2 linked regions of the Daphnia pulex genome follow. The protein of the gene in region 1 purifies or fractionates together with the protein of each later gene. This does not show direct contact. Links are inferred from orthologs where the notes say so. Each region holds a gene or a part of one and is shown in the gene's direction. Other genes may lie near its edges.

Region 1 (4,256 bases):
AAATCATTATCGCATTGATCAAGGATATATTGGTCGCCAATAATTAAATGGGCATGTTTCCCATTGCTGCCGAAGGCACTCGACCAGGGTAGATGAAACAAGGCGTAACCTAAGCTCGGCTTGATTTCCTTGACATCTACTTCGTCGCTTAATTCCTTGTTAACTGAATTTCGAAATATGTTACCGTGAATGGAATTTAAGATGTAGCCTACTTGTTGACTTTGAATGTCTAATCAATTATGTTAAGGCTAACGCCAGTAGGTAAGTATTCAGTTATCATGTACTCAATAACTTTTTATTTTAAATTACTTGTTGGCTTTGAATGTCAGAATGTCTAGTCAATGATGTTAAGGCTAAAGCAAAAAATTTCATGGAATAAAAAAAATACCGCGAAATGTAAACGGTACTTGTTGGCTTTGATTGTTGTCTAATCAATGATGTTGAGGCTAACACCAGTATATTTGACGTACTCGATAACTTTTTAAAATGGGTTTGAAGCAACTTTTCCCGGAATTTTTTTATTGTTTAAATTAATTTGTTTTAAATATTATCTAGATTTTTTTCATAATCTACTTCCGAAACTATTTGCTATCATTGTTCTCCTGCAGAAAACCAGTGGAATTTTCCCATTCTAAAAAGAATATTCTTCGGTCGCCCCTAGTTATAGTACATGCTCTGCAGTACATGTCTTATTACGTTTGACGAACACCGATGTTCATTCAAAATAAACAGCGGAAAATTGTCGAGAAAAAGGTTACACAGCAAAAACTAGTTATGGAACCAGTTGAGCTTAATGGATTTTGCTTCCTAATCTAATTTAATTGTTGGTACCACAATCGAACATGTTAGCACAAAAATCCTTCGAGTGAACCTTGATCAAAATAGTACAGTGTGTCGAATAAACAAAATAATACGTCATAATCCGCCTTTTTTTGTTATTTGTTCATCAAGTTTAAAATGCAGAAATATTTAATTTTCTAAATTCATTTAACGGCTAGCCCATTTAACTATATTTCTTGAAACGAATGCTGTCTCTAATGGCATCGTTTCTTCACTTTTGAAGTATATTATGAGAATTAAAGATGATCTTAAATTCGGAATCAGCTATATAAGCTATTTTAGATTTGATGATAATTACATTTTGGCGAAAAGCTAATCCACGATTTTATAGTTGCTTTAGTAAATTTAATGTGGACATCATCAAGAAAAAATAAATAATTCATTAAACTGAAAACAACAAAAAAACGAAAAGACAACAGACAAAAACAGACAGAAATCAAATTTTCGCTTCCCGCTCTAATACCGGTTTCTCATTCGTCCGCTAGGCTTGAAAATCAAGGTTAAATGGCGTCTAGTGGTAACTGTCGATAAAATTCCTTCAAACTTTGACGTTTCTGTTTCAAGTTTTCAACCGCTGTTAAGTTATCGTTAATGTTCGTTGGTAGTTTAATCAGTATCTCACGATTTCACTATTTGAAATAACCAAAGAGTGCTCCTCATATTTATAACGAATGGATCTTTAGACCGATTGTGTAAATTTAAATGATTTTCGAATGCTAATTCAGATTTAATTCATTCGATGTGTTCTGGACCAAACTAATTAATTGAAGACAAATATGTTTCTTCTTGCCAAGTGACTAGAAAGAGTTAAGCAACAGGTGAGGGGAATAAGGTGGTTGAAGTCCAACGACAAACCTGATTGCAGCCTCAACATGTCACATTCTTACAAAGCCTTGGTATGTTTCATTAAAAATTTCTAAATTGCTAGCACGGTTAATAACAAGAAATTATTCTTTTAGACCAAAGATGAATCTCCTGTAGCACCAGATTCTACAACCGTTGATCGTGTAACATTTACTGAAGGTGAAGATGTACTTCTTCATGATGAAGATGGACTTTTCATTTTTGGCACAATTGTTCAGGTATTTTTGCTAGTGCATTCAACTTCCCCGAAAAGTATTATTATAAATTTATACTTGCAGGTTCTCACATTTCAAGAAAAGTGTCTTATTCAGTTTGGAGATGATACTGAAAGATGGGCTCACTTTTGTGATCTAAGAAAAATTAAAATTCAAGAGGAAACTGATATTTCATGCATTTTGTGCAAGAGTATACAGTCTACTTCTAGTAATAAAATATTATTGTGTCACTGCTGCAGAAGAGGATACCATCAACGCTGTCATGAGGTATTATTTTTAGTAATCAGTGTGTGAGCATTTTAGTAACCTTCTTTGACTTTTTTTCCAAAAAAGCCTGCATTACCAAGCCAGTTTGCCAATGGAGAAACAGATTGGCTTTGCATGAGATGCATGGAAAAGAGGCAAGCTAGGGAAAAAAATAAGATTGCCAACTCGCAACCAGATATACGGGGTAAAGTCAACAACAACAACAGCAGTTCTTCCAACACGATCCGCAAAAGACGTAGCTTTCCGTACGACGTAAGGGTGTATAAAACAACAATGTGGAATAACTCTTAATGCAACATTTCATCTTTCTCGCATCTAGTTGGCGAATCTTAGGTGGGATGCAAACCATTTCACAAATGCTGAGCAAAAGTATTGCTATTGTGGACAGTTGGGTGAATGGTTTAAACGAATGCTGCAGTGTTGTGGATGCTCGCAATGGTTTCACGGTGAATGCATATCTATCTTAAAGCAACCTTTGTTATACGGCGACAGGTAAAAATTTCCTTAAAATGTTGTAGGAACAAATCAGTTAACCTTTTGAGTTATTCAGGTTTTTTCTTTTCTTGTGCTCCGTGTGCAACAATGGCAACGAAGAACGCCTCATGAGATTAAGTGAAGAGCTAACCCTAGCGGATATGGCTCACATTGCACTTTTCAATTTGACTCTGGAAACGACAAAGAAATACCACGATCTAGATATGAGCATATTACCGTTCATAGAGAATAACTGGAAATATTTCCACCCTTCCGGCGAGGTACAATATTTCGTTACTGTTGTTGACTGTTATTCAAAAATTCAATGTTTCTTTCTTCTCGTCTAGCTATTACATTTGACAGACACTGAAAAACGAACCAGGATACTGGCCGCTTTCTGGCAGTTCAAAAACCGGTAAAATGTGTTTTGCTTACACTTTATGAAGAATTTTGCTTCAACATCTTTTATCTTATCAGATTTATGTGCGGACGAGAATTGAAAAAGAAGAAGACCATGTGGGGATTGCGTTTCCAATTGCCCTCTACATTTCCTTCTGTATTAGCCCCACAGTCCCGACACACACTACAGTTGTGGACAAAACGCAATTCGATTCCCCAAGGCACAGTTGTCGAGTAAGTACTTGCTATTTATTAACTTTTCAAAGTTAAAAATGTCATCAATCGAAATTGTTGTACAGGAAAATTTCTCCGACCCCACCGGTCATGAAGAAACAGACTGAAGGGTTTCGTAAAAACAAGAGAGCTCATTCGTCACTAGCAATGAGTGAAGAACGAGAAAAACCTTCCAAAAAGCGAGCAAGACCGTCTGATCCTGAACTTCACCGTACTTTGCGGGTTCGCCAGCAAAGAGCAACATCTGAGGAGAGCATCTGTGAAATAAGTTCTGACGAAGTCAAGTTGATGGTCTTATCGAGCAAAAAGACCAACAAGCGTAAACGGACCAACGGAGGAGAAGAGAATTCAAGCAGTGTCTCATCCTTTTCAGCTTCGTTGACCACTCCGGTAGAAACCAGTTGCGACGAAACGTCTTCGAAGGGAACTTTAGACATGTTCATACCACCGCCCCAAAACTTTGACGGCTTAAACAATCCGTTCTGCAATTTATCTACCCAAAATCAGAATCTTCCGCGCAGCTCTGGTTATCTCTTCGTTCGTCCACTGAAGACGCGTTTAAGTGAAAAGGATATTCGAATTACCAAGACTGGCGAAGTCAAGCGTAAGAGATTCGTGCGGAAATGGAAGCGATCTTCTCAACCAGATTTGGCTAGTGCACTATTTAGCGCAGACACTTCATTTCGATTCACGAGTCCCCAAACCAATCCCTATCAACCAACTCCCAAAGAATCTATTCTAAGCTATTTTGGCATAGAAGAGCGTGTATCGCGGGGTGAGAAGTACACCGTGCACGCTCGTAGGGTACTGTCTAAAGGGCACGCGCAGTATTTAATACACTGGGACACTGAAAATGTAACATGACCATAGTCGTCGCGCGGAGCTCAAGGCAGTGTAACGGGACAGCAAACTTTAAGACTGTTTTGTTGACAGAAAAAAAAAATATATATTAACTATTTTCTC
Region 2 (4,289 bases), on another chromosome or scaffold:
TAAAAAAAATGAAAAAAAAAAATTAAATAATGGATAATAATTTAGCTACATATTTTCGATATAACTGCCGGCTTTTTTTGGTATGTGTGGAAACACTCGGTGCGGCATTTGAGAAAGAATAGGCGACCAATCACATATTTGCTAATAACTTTACACAAAAAACTACAAAAAAATGATAGAGCTTCTTCTTCTGACGAACCCCATAATTTTCTTATTATAAATAGCGATCAAGTGTTTGTCCTTGGTGAAGCAAGAGGATGTGTATTTTCAAGTTCGTTTGAATGTCACGAGAGAGAGAAAAGAACTAGTGAGAATTTTTGCTGTGCAGCAGCAGAATGTTGTGTGTTGTGAACAAGGACCATCCGCCGTTTTCTCCGGTAAATAAACTGGAAAGGGCGGGGTCTCTAGTTGAGTTGGCGCTACGGACCAAGTACAAACCTGTTTTTTCGTCTTTTTTTTTTAGTTTTCACGTGAATTCTGACAGCCAAAGCAGCTGAATGAAATTCCTCTCCCTTTTTTTTTCTAGCTAAAATAATAATGATATATTGAATAAAAAAAGTCCTTAGAGAGAAAAATAAGATGGGATTAAAACAAACATTTAGACAACTCAAGTATAAAAAGCTAGATCAACAGGCTTTTTTGAAATATTATTAATTGTCGTCAATGTTTATTAATAACCACAGAAAATAAATTTCTCGTATGTGCTCTGTGTTTTATTATTTTTCTTTGGTGGAACAATAAAATTGAGAATTTCTTAATATTTTCATATGAAAAATTTTGAAAAAATCTGTTTGACATTTTTGACCTTGAAGAAAAATTAAAAAGACGGTCACGATGGACAAAAATTGGGCTTGCACGTTTTTCTATAAATATATAAGAAAAATAAAAAGCGGTTCTTCTTCTTGTTGTTTGTGGTTTCACCTCCCCTCCGGCAAGGTGGTTGCGTGTGCAAAATGCGGAATCCGCTAGGTGGCAGCACAAGATGTCGGAATTTTCTCTTGAAATTAATATAATTCTTTTTTTTTTTACTAAGAAAAAAGAACAGGAGATTCAGTTGTCAAGTGATGCACACTCATTTTTCTTCCAAGACATTGGGAAATCGCTGATGCGAAAATCTTTTCTGTTCCGCTACGTTCGATTTTTCCACGAAGTTTTACTATTTTTAGATTTTCACCCTCCACCGAAAACCCTTTTGGAAAGCGTAAAAAGTATTTCAACACTGGAAATATTTTGCCAGCCATCAATGACAAACTTTTAATAATAAAAATATCAAATATCGTCAAGCGCCAATAACGCACCAGCAAAAGTTTTCTAAAAAACAACGAAATGTTATTTGACCAAATCCTTTGTAACTCGAGTACCCGAGTATTTGTTCCGCTTGAAAGTTTTTTTTATCACGCACGTTCACGTTCGTTCATATTTTTTTAAAAAGAAAAAAGCGAAATTGCAAATAGTTCCGAAATTGGTCAGAAGAGGCTTCCATCGGCGGGAACGGCGTCGTCGGCTTTGTTTATGGATTCTTTTCGAAACTGCCAGAAATAAAACAAGCACATTTTTAGACAATAACCAAAGTTTGGATACTTGAAATCTGTTTTAACTATCTGTATTTGATCAAGTTAAATATGGCGTCAAAACGATCAGTCGAGCAAATGGATATCACTGAAACTGTGGAACTTTCAGGGGATGACATGGTAATCAGCTTGATACTGCTTTCTGTTTATAACTATAGAATTCTTGGGTTTAAAATGTTTTTTCTCGATTGGCACGTGAAAAGGAGGATACTGCTAGCAGTATTGGCAGTTCTTCAACTTTGGATACTGCCTCAAGGAGTGACACTCCAACTTTGAAACCCAAAAAACGGGGAAAGCCCGGCAGAAAGAAGGGCATCAAAATACCAAAAATCAACTACAAATTTGGGTAATTTGATTTTCGTGTTGTTGAATTCCTTTTAAATTGTATTAATGTTAATTTTTTTAGCTCCTTTATCAAAGAAGATCATGGCCAACCACTTTTCGGTGTCCAATTCAATCACTTGCTGAGGGATGGCCAACCTCTGGTTTTTGCAACTGTTGGCAGTCACAGGATATCAGTGTACGAGTGCCCAGATACTGGAGGGATCAAGCTTCTCCAGACGTACGCAGACCCTGATGTAACTATTTAATTATCTCATCCTGTATAACATCATTTTATCAATCACCATTTATCTAATACAGATAGAAGAAAACTTTTACACATGTGCATGGTCCTATGATGAAGAAACTGGCAAACCCATTCTGGCAGCTGCTGGATCCAGGGGAATTGTTCGCATAATTAGCCCAGCTACCATGAATAGCATCAAACATTACGTCGGTAAGCAGATGACGTTTATTGGAATAATGAAACTCTTTGTACTAAAATTGAGATAAAAATTTTATTTTGAAATAAAAATTAATAGGTCATGGACACGCCATCAACGAATTAAAGTTTCACCCGTCCGATCCCAATCTACTTCTGTCCGTTTCCAAGGATCACGCCCTTCGGCTCTGGAACATAAGAACCGATCAATGCATCGCAATTTTTGGCGGTGTCGAGGGCCATCGGGACGAAGTTCTCAGCGCCGATTTCGATCTGGAGGGTCGTCGGGTTATCTCGTGCGGAATGGATCACTCGCTGAAACTGTGGCGACTTGACACGGACGCCATTGAAAAAGCCATTGGCGATTCCTACACGTTTGCACCGAGCAAAAGTTCCAGGCCATTCGCTACCGTTCAAGAAAATTTCCCCAACTTTTCGACGCGTGACATTCACCGCAATTACGTCGACTGTGTCCGCTGGCTGGGCGATTTCGTGCTGTCAAAGGCATAAATTCTCAATTTTATTTCCTCTTTCGTACGTTCTCAAGCAATTAATGTTTTGTTTTATTTTATGTGTTAATCGTCTAGTCGTGTGAGAATACCATAGTTTGTTGGCGACCTGGCCGTTTGGCGAACAATGGCATACGAGTCATGAACAATAACGCCGTAACGGTACTACACCGATTCGACTATCGCGAATGTGACATCTGGTTCATGCGATTCTCACTGGATTCCTGGAACAAGGTGGGTCTTGATTTTTCAAAGAAATTTAAGCCAGATACCATCTGAACTTTGTAGTGCACCATGTGTTTATTTAAATTTATTTCAATTCTGTTAACTTTTATTGGTCGTTTGGAAACAGGTTATGGCGCTGGGCAATCAAGTTGGCAAGACTTTTGTGTGGGATCTCGACACTGACGACCCCATGGCATCTCGCCATTTAGTTTTGACACATCCCAAATGCATCTCGGCTATTCGTCAGACTGCGTTGAGCCGTAATGGCCATGTATTACTTTGCGTCTGTGATGACGCTACCGTCTGGCGTTGGGATCGTATTCTCTAATCATATATACATACATTCTTTTTCTTCTTCTTTTTTTTTCATTTTTAACAACCTGAATGTGTCAAAAATAAAAAAAAAAAGTAAAAATCACCATAAAAAGAAATTAATTCGATTTGATTAAAATGGCAACGTTGTTGACGTCCAGGGGCTAAACAGAAGTTGGTGTTTCTTTCCTTTCAGCACGTCCATTGAGAGTATCTGGCGTGGTGAGACATATGTGTGTGTTGAAATCTCAGCTTTTTATTAGTTTACTCAGAGAAATTCAACATGCCCAAGAATAAAGGTGAGTTTCAACCGTTCGTGCATCTCCCGAACAGTTTGTTTCAAGTGTTTGTCGTTTGTTTTAATTGATTTATAATTCGTACTTTCTCTTCCGATCCGATTCTGTCTTATTAGGTAAAGGAGGTAAAAATCGCAGGAGGGGAAAGAACGAGAACGAAGCTGAGAAAAGAGAATTGATCTTCAAAGAAGATGGCCAAGAATATGCACAAGTTACGAAAATGTTGGGTAATGGTCGACTTGAAGCTTTGTGCTTCGATGGAACCAAGAGGCTTTGCCACATCAGAGGGAAGCTCAGAAAGAAGGTCAGTCCCGATTGTTGTTGTGGCACTCTGAGTTGTCAATCATCTTTTTTTATTTTATTTTCGACAGGTCTGGATCAATCAGGGTGACATCATCCTGGTTGGCCTGAGAGATTACCAAGATGCCAAGGCTGACGTTATCCTCAAGTACAACGCTGATGAAGCCCGTAACTTGAAGACATATGGTGAAATCCCAGAAACAGTCAAGGTCACAGATACTGTCAACTTCGTCGACGACGGCCTGGATGATGACATCGAGTTCGGCGACGATTCTGGTTCTGGCGAAGACGACGACATTAACGACATATGAAC

What was found.
Region 2: the proteins of metal-response element-binding transcription factor 2-like (region 1) and polycomb protein eed-like purify together in Homo sapiens (affinity purification with mass spectrometry; 3 studies listed by BioGRID and IntAct, with this or other methods). This does not show direct contact. The link is inferred for Daphnia pulex from reciprocal best matches to the Homo sapiens genes MTF2 and EED.

The regions. Positions count from the first base shown.
Region 1 is NC_060025.1:2,645,709-2,649,964, reverse strand, and holds the start of metal-response element-binding transcription factor 2-like, read left to right. Parts: upstream 1-1,316; 5' UTR 1,317-1,532; intron 1,533-1,634; 5' UTR 1,635-1,712; coding exon 1,713-1,736; intron 1,737-1,799; coding exon 1,800-1,922; intron 1,923-1,982; coding exon 1,983-2,186; intron 2,187-2,252; coding exon 2,253-2,438; intron 2,439-2,505; coding exon 2,506-2,678; intron 2,679-2,736; coding exon 2,737-2,941; intron 2,942-3,007; coding exon 3,008-3,075; intron 3,076-3,137; coding exon 3,138-3,293; intron 3,294-3,358; coding exon 3,359-4,157; 3' UTR 4,158-4,256. UniProt on the Homo sapiens protein: Polycomb group (PcG) protein that specifically binds histone H3 trimethylated at 'Lys-36' (H3K36me3) and recruits the PRC2 complex, thus enhancing PRC2 H3K27me3 methylation activity.
Region 2 is NC_060028.1:331,970-336,258, reverse strand, and holds polycomb protein eed-like, read left to right. Parts: upstream 1-1,432; 5' UTR 1,433-1,622; coding exon 1,623-1,691; intron 1,692-1,774; coding exon 1,775-1,917; intron 1,918-1,977; coding exon 1,978-2,149; intron 2,150-2,213; coding exon 2,214-2,349; intron 2,350-2,434; coding exon 2,435-2,838; intron 2,839-2,921; coding exon 2,922-3,077; intron 3,078-3,195; coding exon 3,196-3,396; 3' UTR 3,397-3,663; coding exon of another isoform or gene 3,664-3,679; 3' UTR 3,680-3,681; downstream 3,682-4,289. Other genes in the region: eukaryotic translation initiation factor 1A, Y-chromosomal-like, read left to right, coding at 3,664-3,679, 3,793-3,980, 4,048-4,287. UniProt on the Homo sapiens protein: Polycomb group (PcG) protein. Component of the PRC2/EED-EZH2 complex, which methylates 'Lys-9' and 'Lys-27' of histone H3, leading to transcriptional repression of the affected target gene.